2 linked regions of the Arabidopsis thaliana genome follow. The protein of the gene in region 2 interacts with the protein of the main gene of each other region in a pairwise test. Each region holds a gene or a part of one and is shown on either strand. Other genes may lie near its edges.

What was found. The genes of interacting proteins can lie anywhere in the genome.
Region 1: the proteins of AT1G23300 (region 2) and AT2G24170 interact in a protein complementation assay, tested with the Arabidopsis thaliana proteins (one large-scale study listed by BioGRID).

The regions. Positions count from the first base shown.
Region 1 is NC_003071.7:10,271,501-10,280,350, forward strand, and holds AT2G24170 (Endomembrane protein 70 protein family), read right to left. Parts: upstream 5,767-8,850; 5' UTR 5,689-5,766; intron 5,622-5,688; 5' UTR 5,395-5,621; coding exon 5,287-5,394; intron 4,943-5,286; coding exon 4,778-4,942; intron 4,682-4,777; coding exon 4,572-4,681; intron 4,488-4,571; coding exon 4,379-4,487; intron 4,306-4,378; coding exon 4,193-4,305; intron 4,116-4,192; coding exon 2,807-4,115; 3' UTR 2,599-2,806; downstream 1-2,598.
Region 2 is NC_003070.9:8,260,184-8,268,994, forward strand, and holds AT1G23300 (MATE efflux family protein), read right to left. Parts: upstream 5,866-8,811; coding exon 5,569-5,865; intron 5,459-5,568; coding exon 5,189-5,458; intron 5,116-5,188; coding exon 4,844-5,115; intron 4,755-4,843; coding exon 4,668-4,754; intron 4,602-4,667; coding exon 4,545-4,601; intron 4,468-4,544; coding exon 4,229-4,467; intron 4,129-4,228; coding exon 4,010-4,128; intron 3,923-4,009; coding exon 3,836-3,922; intron 3,764-3,835; coding exon 3,644-3,763; 3' UTR 3,265-3,643; coding exon of another isoform or gene 2,824-3,264; 3' UTR 2,756-2,823; downstream 1-2,755. Other genes in the region: AT1G23280 (MAK16 protein-like protein), read right to left, coding at 682-735, 831-952, 1,052-1,169, 1,262-1,402, 1,492-1,579, 1,695-1,792, 1,907-2,025, 2,203-2,312 and 1 more; RPL27AB (Ribosomal protein L18e/L15 superfamily protein), read left to right, coding at 2,824-3,264; GGT1 (glutamate:glyoxylate aminotransferase), read right to left, coding at 8,537-8,666, 8,748-8,811.

The sequences.
Region 1 (8,850 bases), on a different chromosome or scaffold from region 2:
AGAAAAGTCCAAATTTTCTTAACTTTTTTTTTTACTAAGAGGTTTAATTTTTGTTTGGTTTTGCCATAGGTTATATCGAGACGGCACTGCCAATGGTACTATCAGACAATGCCTAGAAGTTCTACCTAATTTTTAATCTCTTATCTCACAACTTCCTTAAAATCTGCTCGTGAGTAACAAACATAGTCACATTCCCATACAAATTAAATTCTCCTACAATAGTCTTGCACTACTCTAAAATGAACACCTTATCATTATAATTGCAGTGTCACTACGATATAGATGGAATAATTTGAGTATGGATACATATATATATATATATATATATATATATATATATATATATATATTAATAAACAAAAAAACATGGGAAATGAGGACATGAAAGATTGCTATGTTGATAACAGAAACAGTGGGTTTGATTATTGCAGATAACTAAAATTTGTAGTGAAATGGAGTATAAACCTTGACTTGCTTTCTTTGTTCACTTGGATCCCAAGGCAAACAATAAACACAACATAAAAAAAAAGATTGTTTATACATTATCAAGGTATAATTATTAAATATTTGTCTGTTGAAAAACATGCTAAACTGGCCGGCAAGAGCTGCTTTTTCAGAGCCATAAAGCCATCTAATATTCAGTGCAAAACCAATGAAATTCTACTTATGAGATTTTGGCCATTCCACTGAATCTCTCTAGTTATCCATTACTACCAGAAAGTAAATCAAGAAACAAAGAACAAGATATGCTTCATTTCCTCACATGATTAAGAGGGGAAATTTTTGTCTTGACTCCTTCGAAATACTCAGAAAATTGTGGATTTCATTCAAATAAATCCACAAATCATTTCGAATCAAATTTCTGGAATTTCCGAAAGAAATCACTAGAATAGTGAAAGCAAAGACTTTTAGCATCTTATTCAGACAATTTAGTAATTAGGTCTAAACGGGCTACCTTTTTAGTATTTTTCAGATCCATTATTAGTAGTCAAATCTAAACGGGTCAACCTATTATATAGTGTCTTTAAACGGGTTCGGGTCCACAAAATAAGACCGTATCCTTTCAGGCCAGCGGGCTTTATGTCCATTTCAACATCATGTGTAACATGTCCAAGAAGAAAGAGTGTTTGGAGATATTCGGCCTCTGTGGGGAAGCAAAATTTCTATTGACTTTTCTTATAAATCCAATGGGGAAACGGTCCTTGGAATGAATTTGACTCAAGACTCAATACACGCATTGGAGCTCTATCTAGAACTTCTAATGACTTTCCAATACTACTAAAAGAGTTGTGAGAAAGCGATAACCATGTCAATCTTGATAAGCAACCTGGTACTGTTCCTTCCATCTTATTGTAGGAAAGATCAAGGATATAGAGGTTATGTAACTGTGATATAGATTTTGGGATTGTCCCGATGAAATTGTTGTTTGTAAGACTGAACATTTTGCGCTTCGAAAATTTAGATATAGATTCAGGGACTGAGCCATCAAATTTGTTATCGCCAAGGTGTATACCAATAAGCCTAGGCGATGAAGTTGTATTCCCAAACTCTATATGTCCCTTGAACTGGTTCTCCCACTTAAGTTGTTTTCACTAAGGTCTAGGTGCCTAAGATGGGTTAAGTTTCCAAATGAATATGGAACTTGACCTACTAATCTATTATTGAGAAGGTTAAGTTTTGTGAGATGGGAAAGGTTTCCGAATAAAGAAGGAATCTCCCCATAGAGATAGCAAGTTGAAATGGTTAATTTTTGAAGATGTTGGAGTTTAAAAAGACCACTATTTGGTTTCAAGGAGTTGTTGAGAAAGACGTAATTAAGGTAAAGTGAAATCACCTTGCCAGACTTAGCATCGCACTTGACACCCTTCCAATAACAACAATCACTGCTCTTGTTCCATAAACTTAATGATGCAAAATAAGGATCTAGCTTGGATTGATTGATCGGAAACTCGTGTTTGAACTCTTAAAGAGCATCCCTTTGGTCATGGCGGCAATAGTGAAGCGTAGGAGAAGCAAATGTGTGTAGAACAAAGAAAACCAAAAAGAAGGAATACAACGTAACACCAGAAAAGCAATAAGATTGTTGTGGACTCATAATTACTTTCTGTGTGTATGTGTGTGCAGTGTGTGGTAAGTAATAGGTTATGACTATGGCTTCTGAGTATGCCTTTAATAAGAAAAAAGGAAAATAAAAACACTTCTGGAGTTTAGTTCTTGACTTCGAGAACAATCTATCGTGTGAACTCGTCGGACTTCTTATCCTCCTAATTCTTCATGCATCTCTGCTCAGTGATTTGTGCCACTGGTCCATATAGACTACTGATTGACTCATTCAATTCTAAATTATCCACCACATACGTTTCTTTTTGTTTTTGTTTATCTACCACATACTATCTTGACTTGACCTTGTCGATCGAGTTCATTATTTTTTATTTCATTTTTAATATTCTGAAAACTATGTTCCTAAAAACATGAGGTACGCAGTTTCATGAATTCCAAAAAAAAATTGTCGATTAGAAACAGTTATTAAAAAAATGTAAACTGTATGACCTTGCAGTAGTAACAAACTTAGTTTCTAATCTACTAAGAATGGAAGAAATAAAAACTGAGATTGCTGATAAAAGTGTGTGACAAGTTGCTGTTATTATGAGACAATTGTTGTACTCTTGAGCTCTATGTATGTTTACAATAAAATAAAAGTTTATGTCTACATATCTCAAAATCATCACAAAATTTAAAAGGAGGAAACAAAAGAACGAAAAAGAACAAGATTTAAGATACAGCTTACTAAGAAGGTGATTAAAGATCAATCGATTTTAACCGAAGAGTAGATAAGCCTGGTGAACCAAAAGCATGCGTAGAAACCAATTGCACCAGTAAAGACGAAGAATACGTATGAAACTATGAGCATGTACCCAAAGTAGAGCACTGCAGAGACGAGCTTTGTGATCTCAAGTTTGGTGTAGAAGTAAAAGACTGCGTAAAGAAAGAGGTAAACCGCGGAAGAGCCTGATGTTAAGTAAGATCTCCACCACCATTGATAGTCTTCACTACACAGCTGAAAATAACAGAGGACGACCGTGATCTCTGCGCAAGTGATGATCAAAATGATGAAGACGATGAAGAGGAAGCCGAATATGTAGTAGAACTGATGTAGCCATATTGAGGTGAGTATGAAGAAGAGCTCGATGAAGACTGCGCCAAATGGGAGAATGCCTCCAATCAAAATGGAGAAGATTGGGTTCATGTACCAGGCCTGTGTTGGGATCTGCCGCGGGATCTTGTTGGTTTTCACTGGATCTTCCGGTGCAGGTTTTCTGAAACCAATGTAGCCACCGATGAAAACAAGTGGAACAGAGATACCAAACCAGAGGACAACCAAAGCAAACATTGTACCAAATGGGACTGCACCGGATGATTTTTGTCCCCAGATTATCGCATTAAGGACAAAGAAGGCGACAAAGACGGTAGCGGGAAACATGAATGCGGTTTTCAGAGCGTTTCTTTTCCATTCGGTTCCTCTTAACGTCTTGTAGAGGCGTGAAGACGCGTATCCTGCCAATAGTCCCATGAAAACCCAAAGCAAAAGCATAGCCGTCATAAGACCACCACGGTTTGAAGGAGATAAAAAGCCAAGACAAGCAAAGATCATGGTGACAAGAATCATTCCAAAGCATTGAACTCCAGTGCCTGCATAAACACAAAGCAACTCCGGGTTTGTTGGCGGTCTGAAAACATCTCCGTGTACCAATTTCCAACCCGTCTCTTCGAGGGCCTCTTCATGACTCTCTAACTGATTGTAGTTGGAAATATCTCGGTAGAGTGTTCTTAGCATGATCATAGCGACCATACCAGAGAGGAAAAGAACAATCATCATAGAATTAACGATTGAGAACCAATGAATCTGATCATCAGCCATTAGAAGGTAAGTGTCCCACCTAGACGCCCATTTCACCTCACTTTCCTGGAAGTCAACATCATATGTGAAGATAATCTCGTTCCCTTCTTCAACCTCCTGAGGAGACTCAGAGTTAGTGACTGCACGCTTTGTATGCGGATCACAAGTCGTTAACCGAGCCTTTTCATTCCATTGACCTTCATATTCATGTTTGACACTGCATCGAGATAAAATCAGTAGATGTTAGTCGCTTACACAATACAGAGTCAAAGTCCTTAAATCACAAAAAGCTACCTGAACGGCTTGACTTCAAAGCCAACGATTCTTGAAGAATCGGTCTGTATATCTCTGTGATACCTAACAGTGAAGGTCAAGTGGTTGTGGATAAAATACTTCTCCTCCTTTTTCTACAAGAAAATCAAATAAATAAGAACTCTTTCCATTGAAACATATTCAGAAAAGGTGATGATGAGCTCTTACGCCAGCAAAGATTCCCTTGAGACCAACATGGAAACCATGCTGATACACTACAACATTGTCCTGATCTGGCCTTTGCACCGGAACAACTAGGGGAAGGTTGTCCAAAATCCTGCATAAGAAATCAATCTTCCTCATAAAAACAGAAGAAAAACAAAACACATTCAGTCGAAGGCGACAAAATCAATCTCCTCACATGTTAACTCGATATTCATCAGCAATCTTCTCCTTAAACGCCTTTGCGGTTTTCTTATCAAGCTTCACACGACAAACCGCAGCACACATCTGCGATTCCCTCATTTTAAACTGCAACAAAGAAACAAACAGACATTAAAAACAACTCAACAACTACCACTTAACCAAGACAGATAGAGAAAGAACCAAGAAGAAACAAGAACATACCACAAAAGGAGAGTTCTCAATTCGATCACCACGAAGAACTTCACCGAGATTCTCAGCACTATCAACAATATGTTCTGGACGACAATAAGGAAGAGAATAATAGGAATATGGAAGCTGAGTCTTTGTAGATGTCAATTTATTAACTTTCACCATCAATGCATCTCCCTGAAAAACAAAACCATAACTCCAAAGTTTGAACCTTTATAGATAATGACCATTATACATTCTTCTACTCCAAAAGCTAGATTCACACAGAAACAAGTCTAAACAATGGCTAATACATATAGACTAATGAAACATTCTCTTTAAACACAACACTCAGTGGTAACTGAAGATCAAAATTACCCAAATCTCATAAAACAGAGCCATAGATCCAATTTTAACAAGATTACTTGATCGATTGCGTTGGATCTAAATCAGAAAAAAATCTAGACCCAGTGTGAATCAAAGCTCTAAGAAGAAGCTGCATTTGTGAAATACAGATACAGAGATGATTTTATGTGGCTGACCATTTGGAAATCTTGTGGAGCGACGCCGGGAAGGTAAAATCCATGGATATGGACATTGAGGGAGAAGAATAAGACAAGGGTGAAGATCAAAATCCGAACTTTCGCCATGGATTTGCTCGATTTCGTCTTCTTCTTCGGAGAGTGAAATTTCTTAAATGAAGGAGAAGAGAGTGGGAAGAAACATGGCAATTGGACGATTTATGGCCGTTGGATATTTTAGTATCTCGTTTGATTTAATCAACGGTTGAGATTTCCTAAGTTGGAGCTGTCGGTGATTCTTCTTCTTAAGGTAATGAAATATCAAAGTCAACACTTTTTAAGGTAAAAAAATAAAACTTTGAATAGACAATAATTAAAATCAAAGTCCAATTTACGAGAAATCTAATTTTTAAATAAGGAAACAATTTTTTTTTTTTTTTGTTAATTTAAGTAGATTAGATGAAACTTGTAAATGTAGCAAAGTAGAAATGAGTTAGTGTGGAGGATACGAAATAATTATGAAAAAGTATTCAAAGAATAAAAGAAAAAAATGGATTTAAATCAATTAGAAGACAAAATCCATTTGGTAAATGAAGGTGACCTCTTAACTATTCTAGCAGATTATGAAACCTTACACACACCAGCAACCACCTTGACATATAATTAAATGTACATTACCAATAAATACATGTAAGAAAAAAGCACACACACACACAATACAAATCCGCATTAGATAAATGTAAGTCTTTCTTTTACAGACTGTTTTCAAATTGAAAACGGACGGTTTTCTTCTGGAGATAACTAGTCCGGTATAAATGTAAGCATATAATAGTAATCGCGGAAACTAACTTCTATTATTTCTATTCTATTATAAAGTAAAAGCAGTCGTTGGCAACACAACATTAGAATAATTTGAAAAGATAAGAAAAATTAACATAGCATTTGATATGGGCCAACTCTTTGATGATATTGGGATCGGGAACATGGACTTTGGTATTCTGAGGTATAATATAGTTTTCACGAGTAATGTAGGCATTGTCGTGTGCACCACCTCCGAAATAAATGATTACAAAAGTTCAGTATTATAAAAAATGGTCTAGGCGGTCGTTTACACTCTATCTAGGCACTAGACTCTCAGGTAACGCCTAAATAATCGCTTCGATTGTCTAAAATAACATAAATTGCCATATTTTCTATGTTCACTTGTCCATTTATTATCAATTTTAGGGTCTAAATGATTGTTGTGGTTAAGGTGGACAAATTCGTTTGTGTATTTGACCACGTTTTATTTACCATTTCACAAATTACTTCTGTGTGGATTTAAAAAAGAAAACTGATGCGGATCAACCACATACCGTTTTTACATATAAATAGAGTTGGTTGCGACGGTTTGTTGTCTACTTTAAAAATAGTTCGGATTAAACCATTGACGGATTTATCCATCTTAACTGCCGTAACCATTCAAACTTGTGAGATGAGAGAAGTAACAATCAAAAATACCAATTGATTGCTCGTATCTTACTAGAATTACTGACAAATTCTTCTATAAATGCAACGTTTCTCAAAGAATCTCAAGGTTAAGCTTATTATTGACACTTATATAAACTTCTATTTATTTATTTATTTAAGTAAATAATCAAAATTGCATGAGCATGTTGGCTATAAGAGAAAAATTGCATGAGAATGGCATTCTTATAGATTGATGAAATTCGATTGGTCGTGATTGGATATTCTATACAAGAAAAAAATATTGATACGCTGAGGTAGTCTAAATAGATTATAGTGTTTCATAGAACTAAGAAGGAATTATCGAAAGCAGTCTAATACTTTTTTAATCTTTAAATCATTTGAGGTTCGGGGTTCACGACGAGTGCAACGAACATGAAGACAGACTTTTTTTCTTCAATTTCATCAAACTTTTTTTTTCTTTCTGTTTTATATGCTTCTGCTTCATCACCCTTTTTTCTTTGGGTTTTAAATGTTTCTGGTTCATTCACCTTTTTTCTATGTGGCTTAGGTGCTCCTATTTCATCTCTTAGTTTTCTTTCCAGTTTTTTAGGTCCTTTTGGTTCATTGTTAGCTTGTTGTCGTTTAGATTTAGCATTTTTCAACTTAATGACTTTCTGATATTCCAGATTATTAGATCTAAAATACTCGGAGTCAAACGAATCATATCAGTAACAAAATACAAAACTAGTCACTACTTGCGAATCAATCAAACAAAAATAAAACATCTAATCATGGATGTGTATTCACAAATAACTTACCATTACAAGTGTGTAGTTTACAAATGCTCTGTTTTGACTTAAAATCAAAAGTTTCGACGATTTAATTTTTTTTGATGTGGTCATAAAAAGAAACTTGAAGAAATAGAGAATGATTCTTCAGATTTCTTGTTAAGTGATCGTGAAATACTTTGATTAGGGTTTTTGAACTGCACAAAAAATTCTAACAGAGACAAAAGGATTGAAATCCTCTATGAAAAAACATTATGTTTTAAAAGAGTTGATTTTTCTTTTACGGGCAACCCACAATCTGCGACGAGTTTATCCACATGAATTTGTGATCTACGATGGATCTATCCATGAAGCCCACTAATTTATATACAAAAAAACCAACGTCCAATCCGCCTCGACAGAACTAACCCAACAGATTTTAATGCCTAAAACATATTTAAGTTTATTTAAAATTGTTAAGCATTTTTAAATCTATTTCTAATTAAAAGTCACAAAAAACAAAGCTAAAATTCTAACCGTTCACTAATAAGACATTAATCTATGAAATAACCACTAGATTACGAAACATTTTCGAAATTTGTTACCTTTTACAACTATCTATAAATTTGTGTGCCTAAAGCATGGACTTCAGCCGCTTTAGCCAAGGGCAGAGCTGAAATTTTCGTTCATCAATTTACATTCTAGAAAGAAGTCCAGGACACAATAATGGTTGAGTCATGACTCATGAGGTGGCCAGTAGAACTGTTCCCTTCTTTGATGTGTTTGTGTCACGTTGATAACGGGTGGACATTTTATTGGTTTTGTGAGATAAATTGTTGAAAATCGTAGCGAAGCAAGTTGATAGGGTTCAATCATATCTCGTATTATCTACTATATATAAAACATTGTAGAAAAGTAAAATATTTTCATTTAAAATATTATAAAACAGAGAAGAAAACTTATACTATTTGACCAAGGAAAAAAACTACCTACTCACGACACGACCATCACGTTTATAATGTTAATACACAGTTACACCATACATTTTTTCATTGTAGTTCTATACAATAATATATCATCGTTTGATCTAACAAGTATTCGATAGATAGTGGGAACTTTTTTTTCCCTTTTGGCCTTATATTTAAGAACATGGAGCCTGTGTTTCTAAAATTCTATCTAAAAAAGTATATTTTGTATTGATCATATCTGAAATTGCATATATTGTAAAATATTGTGTACAAAAGGATCCGGTCCAAGATTAAACACACAATACTTACTGAGACTAAAAGGGGCTAAACCACAAGAACAAATCCTTGAAATTGCAATGGTTAAACTTACAAAAAATATGTCTCTTATTACCAGATCTTAA
Region 2 (8,811 bases):
TGTTGTGAGAGAGAACGATGAAACTATGATTCTGCATTTAGAATCATTATTATCTATAGATTTTAGATTCTTTCTATTTCTGTCTGCCTAATGTCTATTGTCCATTTTCTGTGCTCTGGTAAAAATATGTTAATTGTCCATTTTTCATAATTTGTAACTGACTGTTGAATACATTAAGTCGGTAATTTACTGTAAATATATCATTTTCCAATTATTTTGCTCTGTGTAGGATTATTGTAAATTTGACTTTTTTTATTTATCTTCAAATGAAATTCATATTTTTCAATAATAAGTATATATTAAAAAAAATAGAAAAGACATAAAACCGAAAATAATAATATAGATGTATCCAAAAATCTGCTAAAACGTACACTAATTTTCACTTCAAAGCTTCTAATAATTTTAACTTCAAAGTTTCTAATATCTAACAAAAAATTCATCCAGTTTTAATAATTGATACATCAAAATTCATTCAAACAAGGCCTCTTGTTTTCAAGTTTTCAGTAACAATATCCAAAACTAAATTGTAACTTGAATATAAAATGGTTTATAATTTAAAATGTAAGAACATATTAAGCTTTTACAAGATAAAGGTAGAAATTCTACAAAACCAAAGGCCTCTCAACTGAAGAAGTTTTTACCTTTTTCATCATTAAGTATCAAAAACTTTCACAATCTTTCTCAAATTTTAAGGCTTTTCAGGGATCTTCTTGTGTCTGCATCTTCTTGCTCAACCTAAAAAAGACATACATATATGTAAGAAACCATCGAAATCGTAAACACAAAAGTATCCTTGCAAATTATTTAAGCAATCTTGTGGAATCTCTCACCTCAACAACTACTCTTGGTTTCTTCTTTGCTTTTCCATTATCATCAGACTTCTTTAAAGCTCTTCCCTTTTTATGAATCACAACTTGTTCTTCAGCATCATCGTCATCCTCGTCATCTGAGTCTGTAGAGAGTTCACGATCGGGTTAAAATAGTTTCTCAAAATACATGGATTCAATTATTGAGTGGAAATTGTAAGAAACAGGAAGGAGATGAATATTACCATGATCATCACCTTCAAGGTAAGACTCCTTAGATGGAAGACCAGAGAAGTCTTCCATGTCTTCTTCTTCCTCTGCTTCGAGTTCATCATCGCCTTCAACATATTCAATCACTCCTTCCTGAGATATACGTTAATGAATGAAGATCAGTAGAAAGATGTTGCATCTAGATTTGATGGACTACCAAAATTACACGGCTTTTACAAAAGTACCTCCTCCTCTTCTTTCTCAACTTCGTCGTTGGTTTCGATTTCTCTATCAAGCAGTTTGTTAAACACACTGTCAGATAAATTGTATATTTCAGTAGGGTAAATGCCTTTCTTCAAACGTTCCATCAACTCGGTTTCAATAGCCTGTAAAAAAAGAATCAAAACTATCATGAAAACCTCAGAACTAGAGTGAAGCAAGTAAAAATCAAAACCCAAAAACAACAAATCGTGACCTTATCCAACTGAGCTGCTTTTATAGCCTTTTCCTCTCTTCTCGACTCCCTCTTTATTTGCCTCCTAGGCGTAGTGACTACTACCTCCCTGTTATTCAAAAACAAAAGTACCAAATAATTAATCAGAACAAGAAAAGAATTAGACACATGTAAATCAAACAAGATACCAAACTCCACAAACAAAAACCAGAAGAGGACAAGACCTTGTTTTCAGAGCAAGTTTCCTCATACGAATACGCATCTGAGTCATTTTAGTCAGTCTTTGTTTAACCTTATGCTGCAACAACTTGGGCCAGTACAACTGCCACACGTAAGAAAGAAAATAATTAAAACCCTCCCAGATCATAAGACATTGACATTGCTAATGAAGAAGAAGAGTAAAGAAATAAACTGTGGCAATAAATCTCAAGCTCACCAAGTGTTTGTCAATCATTTCAAGAGCCTTCTCATAGTTTACAGGCAGCTTAACTCTCTCCCACAATTTATTTGGCATGTGAGCTCTCTCAATAGTCTTCATATATAAATAAAACACTCCTGTATAAACAACAACAACACAAGAAAATCCATTTGTAAGAAACCACCACAACAACACTAAACTCAAAAGAAACATCTTTCTAATTGCCCTTTACTACGTAAACTAAATCAACACCCAATCCTAACTATTCCAACACACAGAATCAGCTCAAAGATTGACACTTTTCTAAAAATTACCATCATGGTCACGGATAGTGGCGTATCGGCTATTAGCAAGAGGGCAAGAGCTTCGATTACAGATTCCTGTTACATTATATTGGTTTCTGCAAAAGATTCCAGTTTCGATTCTAGAAAAGCAAAAGAGAACAAAACAAACCCATCAACAAATTGAGCTACAAATGAAAATTGAAAGCTAACAAGTGAGGATAAAAAATACATACTTGGCCATGTAACTACAGTGCTTGTGCCTAATGACCTGCCATATAACCTCATCGTGTTGCATCTTTCCCGGTGAAGCTTGAAAATAGCTAAAGGGTTTAGCTTTCGGGCGAGACTTTAGGGTTTATGAGTGAAGAAAAAGAAGAAGGAGAAGCTGTCAAGGACGGCGCCGATCAACTGTCGTCGAAAAACTCAAAAGTGAAGTGGTTAACTAAACCTGATATTAGGGATTCATATAATGGGCCTCATAGCCCAATTTAATAACATAAATAACCTGTGGTATAATTGGGCCAAATTATTAAAAAGCCCAAAAGACAATACACTATCTCTGTTTCTCCGAAAACCCTAGCTGCTAAATCCTCTCTATATAAAAACCCTTTAAGATCATTTCTGGTTCAAAACCCTAGATCTGATACTAAAATGGCGACGGCGTTGAAGAAGAACAGAAAGAAGAGAGGTCACGTCAGCGCCGGACATGGACGTATCGGTAAGCACCGTAAGCATCCCGGAGGTCGTGGAAACGCAGGAGGTATGCATCACCACAGGATCCTCTTCGACAAGTACCATCCAGGTTACTTCGGGAAAGTTGGTATGAGGTATTTCCACAAGCTTCGTAACAAGTTCTTTTGCCCAATCGTGAACCTGGACAAGCTATGGTCACTTGTTCCTGAAGACGTGAAGGCGAAATCGAGCAAGGATAATGTTCCGTTGATCGATGTGACGCAGCATGGTTTCTTCAAGGTTTTGGGGAAAGGTCATTTGCCTGAGAACAAACCTTTCGTTGTGAAGGCTAAGCTTATCTCTAAGACTGCTGAGAAGAAGATTAAGGAAGCTGGTGGTGCTGTTGTTCTCACTGCTTAGTTTTTTTTTTCAATTCAGTCTCTTTTTAATTTATTTCATGTTATTGAACTCAGCTTTGTTGGATTTTGGAATCAGAGATCTTTTAATCTATGGTATTGGATTATATAATTTGCTTCGTATTATTTGGAAATTTTGGGATTATTTGTGTGATCTGATTCATCTCTGCATTTGCAATGTTGTCATGTTCTTCAAGATCATTGCGTGTTATGTTCACTGGTTTCAAAGATTATGTCTGGGTAAACCTCAAACTCAATGTCACAATAGTGTTTAGATTCTTACAACAAAGTCTTAGCTTAGCTTGATCAATTTGGGAATAACTGATTCTTCTTCTGGGATGGTTGTTTTGTTTATTACGAATCTGCAATGACTTGTTTAATGATCATTTCCTGTGATTGTTTTCACCATTTGAATTGTTTTCATCTTCTTCACAGAGATCGATCTCTTCTCTTTTGTTTGATTGGTCTCCCCATTTTTTTATTCTAGCTTCTGCTAATGAAGCCTGGACATTTTGCATAAACTTTAATACACAAACACTGAAACTGATACTAGAATTTGACAATTGCTTCTTTACCTCTTTCTTCCAGTTGGTTCTATAGATAATGAAAAGTAGAACAGATGTTTGAACTACTGTTCCCGTTAGCATTCCTGTCCATATCCCCTGTAGTTGTGTGTGTGTTTATATCAACTTGAAGCTTATCATGTATGCAAGTTCTTTATTAAGGTTAGATTTCGAGATTTTACTTACCTTCACTCCAAGTTCCATCTTGTAGCCGAGCACAAGACCGATTGGTATACCACATAGATAGTAACACCCAATGTTCACATATGCAACAATGCCTTGCCATCCAGCTCCAACAGCTACACCTTTTGTACCAATATCAAAAACCAAAACACATTTTGTCTTATACACAATCATGCTAAATTTAAGCAGCCTAGGGTTTTTGAGTGTTGTTAGAGAAACTACCAGAAAGAACAGGCTGAATGTTGTTGATGACGATGGTGAGAGCCAGCAACGGAGTCAGCTGCTTCACGAGTACTCTCACTTCTTCATCATCTGAGAACATTGCTGGATACTTGTCTCGCAACACAATGAGAGTCACTGATATCACAATTCCGATCGATACAGAAGTTATCATAGCCACTATCAATAAGAACTTTGCTCTTCTTGGGTGTTCAGCTCCTAGCTCATTCGACTCTCTTACACTGCACATATAACACATCATTTTTTCCAATCATTAAGCTTTTTTTTTTCTTTTCTGTTAAGAGACTTTGTGATATACCTCACAGCCGCATTGAAGCCAAAGGCCACCATGATCGGCCATCCCAATATGTTCATGCTATAACCAAACCGTTAATTCCGTTCCTAACCAAAACAGAAGCTTTCACAGGGACTTAGAACTCACCATATCGAAAGAGCAGCTACAGAGACTTGAGGGTTCTTGAGGTAACCCGCAAACAGAATCAACGCCATGAAATACCAAACCTCTAGGCTGAAACCAACAAACAGCAAGTCACTAGGTGTACCCATCAATGAACCATTTATGTATCGATCTGACTCCAAAGTGTTCCGATATCTCACCAAACCATGACTGCAGAGGCAAGAGACAATCTTGCAAAGCCTCTGAGATTCTTGAACGCCATCCAAGAGAGCCCTGACCAAGCTCTGCCAGAAGAACCACCACAAATATAAACTATTTGAGTAACATCTATTAACCACCACGACATATTCAATACAACGGCTCCTCCGGCCATTCCCCATCTAAGTTTCAGCATCAGCAACCAACTCAATAGAGTGTGCTGTAACAGCACAGTCGCTGCTATAACCGCCATCGCAATCACTTTGCTTTGTGCCTATAATAATTAATCAATCTCATAACCAAACAACTTGAATTTACCTCAAGTAAACTGATTTTGATGTTGTTACCTGCAAGAACTTGGCGGTGGCGAAGTTAACAGCGTAAGCAAAGAGCTGAGGAATCATCCAGAGGGAGAATTTCCCGGCTGCTTTAGAGATCTCCGGAGACTGTCCGAGGAGACTCAACAGTGGAGTGGCAAACACGTAAAAAAGACAAAGAAGAAGGGCACAAGAGTTAAGGATGATCCAAGACCTCTGAAGATATATTCCCATCATCTCTAGTTGCCCTGCTCCGTACGCTTGCCCACAAAGCGTCGCTAGTGCACTTCCCATCCCAAGCTTAAATCAATTTTAAGTTTAAAAGAATAAATTATGAACAATGGATCAACTAAAAAATGTGTTACACATTTGTCATAGATATGTATGCTTAAAGTAACTAATTATATTACCATAATGCCGACAGAGAAGCCGGAGATGACGGAGTTCTGTATGGAGACAGCAGCTAAAGCCAGCGTGTTGACGTGTCCGGCGAGGATCTGCGTGACGGCGCCAAGAGAGTATTGGCAGAAAGATGTGAATATCGCAGGACCAGCGAGCCACCACAACTTCTTTGACTCAGCCGCAAACTGTCGAATGAAGTCTCTACCGCCGGAGATCGGAGGCATGTCGGTGTCGGATTTGGTATGTGCTCGATGTTCTTGTTCTGAGGAAATAGTATCTTCATGATCAACGTTGAGAGTTTCCATGTCTTACTAGCAAAAGAGAGATAGTAATTTCTTAGACATGCATGCATAACGCATATATAGAGTTTTATTTGTATGCAATATTTATGTTAGGTTTTTTTTGTTTTTTTCACAAATTTATGTTAGGTACTATAATTTTTAGCTTTTCAAAATTCTAGTATCGTACCACAATTTAGAGATGCAGTGGATTGTACGAGGACAAAGTGGTCTAACTATTCTTACGTAGTCTCCAAACTTGTAGTGAACTTTATCACCCAATTTTAGTTTCTGAAATTAGCTGACTGAACTCAAGTCATTTGGTATCTATCATTCAACAATGAGCAATTGAGCATTATTATAAAATTAATCTTTTCTAATAGTAGTTTGCTTAGAATTGGGTTGTGCAAATTGCAAAGCACATTAATTGAGCCAAAAACTGTACAAAATTTACATTCATTAATCAAAGGCTAATTATAGTTTCTTAAAATATATTATTTAAATACTATTTTATGTTTGAATAATTTTCACAACAAAAGAAAATCATCCTTATTTGAAAGTTGAAACCTTAACTCACCACATAATTTTATGTTATTTTTCCGAAGAATGTCGATGTTAGATAAATACTAACATATAGTTTTTCGAGGAAATCACGGGTTTACGTTTTTTGGCGGGAAAATCATGGGTTTACGTTTATGCGGGAAAATCACGAGTTTACGTTTTTGGCGGAAAAATTACGGGTTTACGTTTTTGGCGGGAAAATCACGGGTTTACGTTTTTGGCGGGAAAATCACGGGTTTACGTTTTTTGGCGGGAAAATCACGGGTTTACGTTTTTGGCGGGAATATCACAGGTTTTGGTTTTTGGCGGGAATATCACAGGTTTTGGTTTTTGGCGGGAAAATTACGGATTTACGTTTTTGGCGGGAAAATCACGGTTTTACATTTTTGTCGGGAAAATCACGGGTTTACGTTGTTGGCGGGAAAATTACGGGTTTACGTTTTTGGCGGGAAAATCACAGGTTTTGTTTTTTGGCGAGAAAATTACGGATTTACGTTTTTGGCGGGAAAATCACGGTTTTACGTTTTTGGCGGGAAAATCACGGGTTTACTTTGTTGGCGAGAAAATCACGGATTTATGTTTTTTGGTGGAAAAATTACGAGTTTATTTTTTCTCAATTTCATCGCTTGTATATTTAAGAAATTTGGAAAAATATTGATTTTATTAAATTGGTTTAGATGTGTTGGTTAAGCTTAAATTGATATTGGTTTAGAGATTTTAGTTGGTTTAATTCAATTTTACAAAAATTGATGGGTTAATTGGGTAAACAATTGAAACCATTAACCATTACAACCCAACTCATTTGACTCATCAAACAAATTGATCCAATAACTCATTTGACTCATCAACTCATTTGAGTCAAAAAATTTAACTCATTAGGGTTCATGGGTTGAGTTGAGTTGAGTTGGCCCATGAATTTTGACCCATTTTGACACCCCTATTTGAAACCTTAACTCACCACATAATTTTATGTTATTTTTCTGAAGAATGTCGATGTTAGATAAATACTAACATATAATTTTTCGTTTTTAATCAGATTATCTTTAACTTGAATTGCATCGCGCTAGTTAGTCACTAAATCTAAAGATAATTTTTTGATTTGTTTGTACATAAACAATAATTTTAAGAATGAAAACAAAGTAAGATATGTCCTAATTAATCAATACCTAAATCCATCAGAGCACCTTCATCGGTGACACACACATTTGAGAATCTAGCAAATAAAAATATTAATTTTTCTATATAGTTTTATTATTTAATTAATTATTTATCTATTAAGAAAACATCAACCAATCAATAAGCGACAAATGTAGACATGTGTCTCTCAAAACAATTAACCAATTATTATTTAACTAATTATTTATCTATTAAGAAAAACTGCTAGTTTACAGAGAAGAATAATCTCTGCTTCTTCTGCGTTTAGGTTTGGGAGCCGGTGGACATTCAAGCGGCTGCGAAATCCTAAACTCCTCTGCTTTAGGCATTGCGCACTCTTCTTATTCTTATTCCTCATCTTCTTTCTCTGGCTTCTTCTCAACCATCGTCACCTGACACTTAACCGGCGAGAGAATCTTGATCAGTTTCTCTCCATTACAGATTGTCTTCTTCTCCGTCTTTGCTCATTCTATGTTTTCTTCCTTACCCTTGTTATTACTCTGCACCTCTTTTCCCGCAAAATTCATAACTTACACGAAATATAGAAAACAGAAATTCAAAGTATCAAGAAGAATAGACAGGGAATAAATACATATATCTTTGGATTTATCACATTAATAAAATTATATTAAAGACGATTTTTTTTTCATAATCAAAAACAAACTAGGACATGGATTATTATTATTTTCTTTAATATAATTAGCATAATTACAAATTTCACATTGCCACACTAAAAAAAGGCTATCACCGTTGATTAAAAAAAATAATCTATGGCCTAAACTTCATTTCATTGAGAAAAGATCTTAATCAGTTTCCAATTGAAAATAGAAATAGAGACACAAGAGAGAGTTTACACCCAAAAAAAAGAGACACAAAGAGAGAGATATGGTTTATAGAATAGGGCAAAGAGAAAGAGTGTACTACAGAGATTTAGCTTTAAAGAGTGTAGCAGAACACAATAGTCGTTCAGAAGAAGAAGTAATCACATTTTCGAATAACCAAAGTTATTATCATACTGAGTCATGAACTCGTCGTTGAACTTCTTGAAGCTATCCATGATCTCCGGCATCTCATCTTCTGCTGGCAGGATTGTTGTCCTCAGATGGAACACACTGTCAAAATCCACAAGTGGAATGAGTTCATAAGAAGAGATCAGATGAGCAAGAAAGAAACAGTAGTAGCAGATTCTTTACCCTTCTTTCTGTCCAAATCCAGAGCCAGGTACTGTGGAGATTCCTGTGGCTTCTAAGAGCTTGA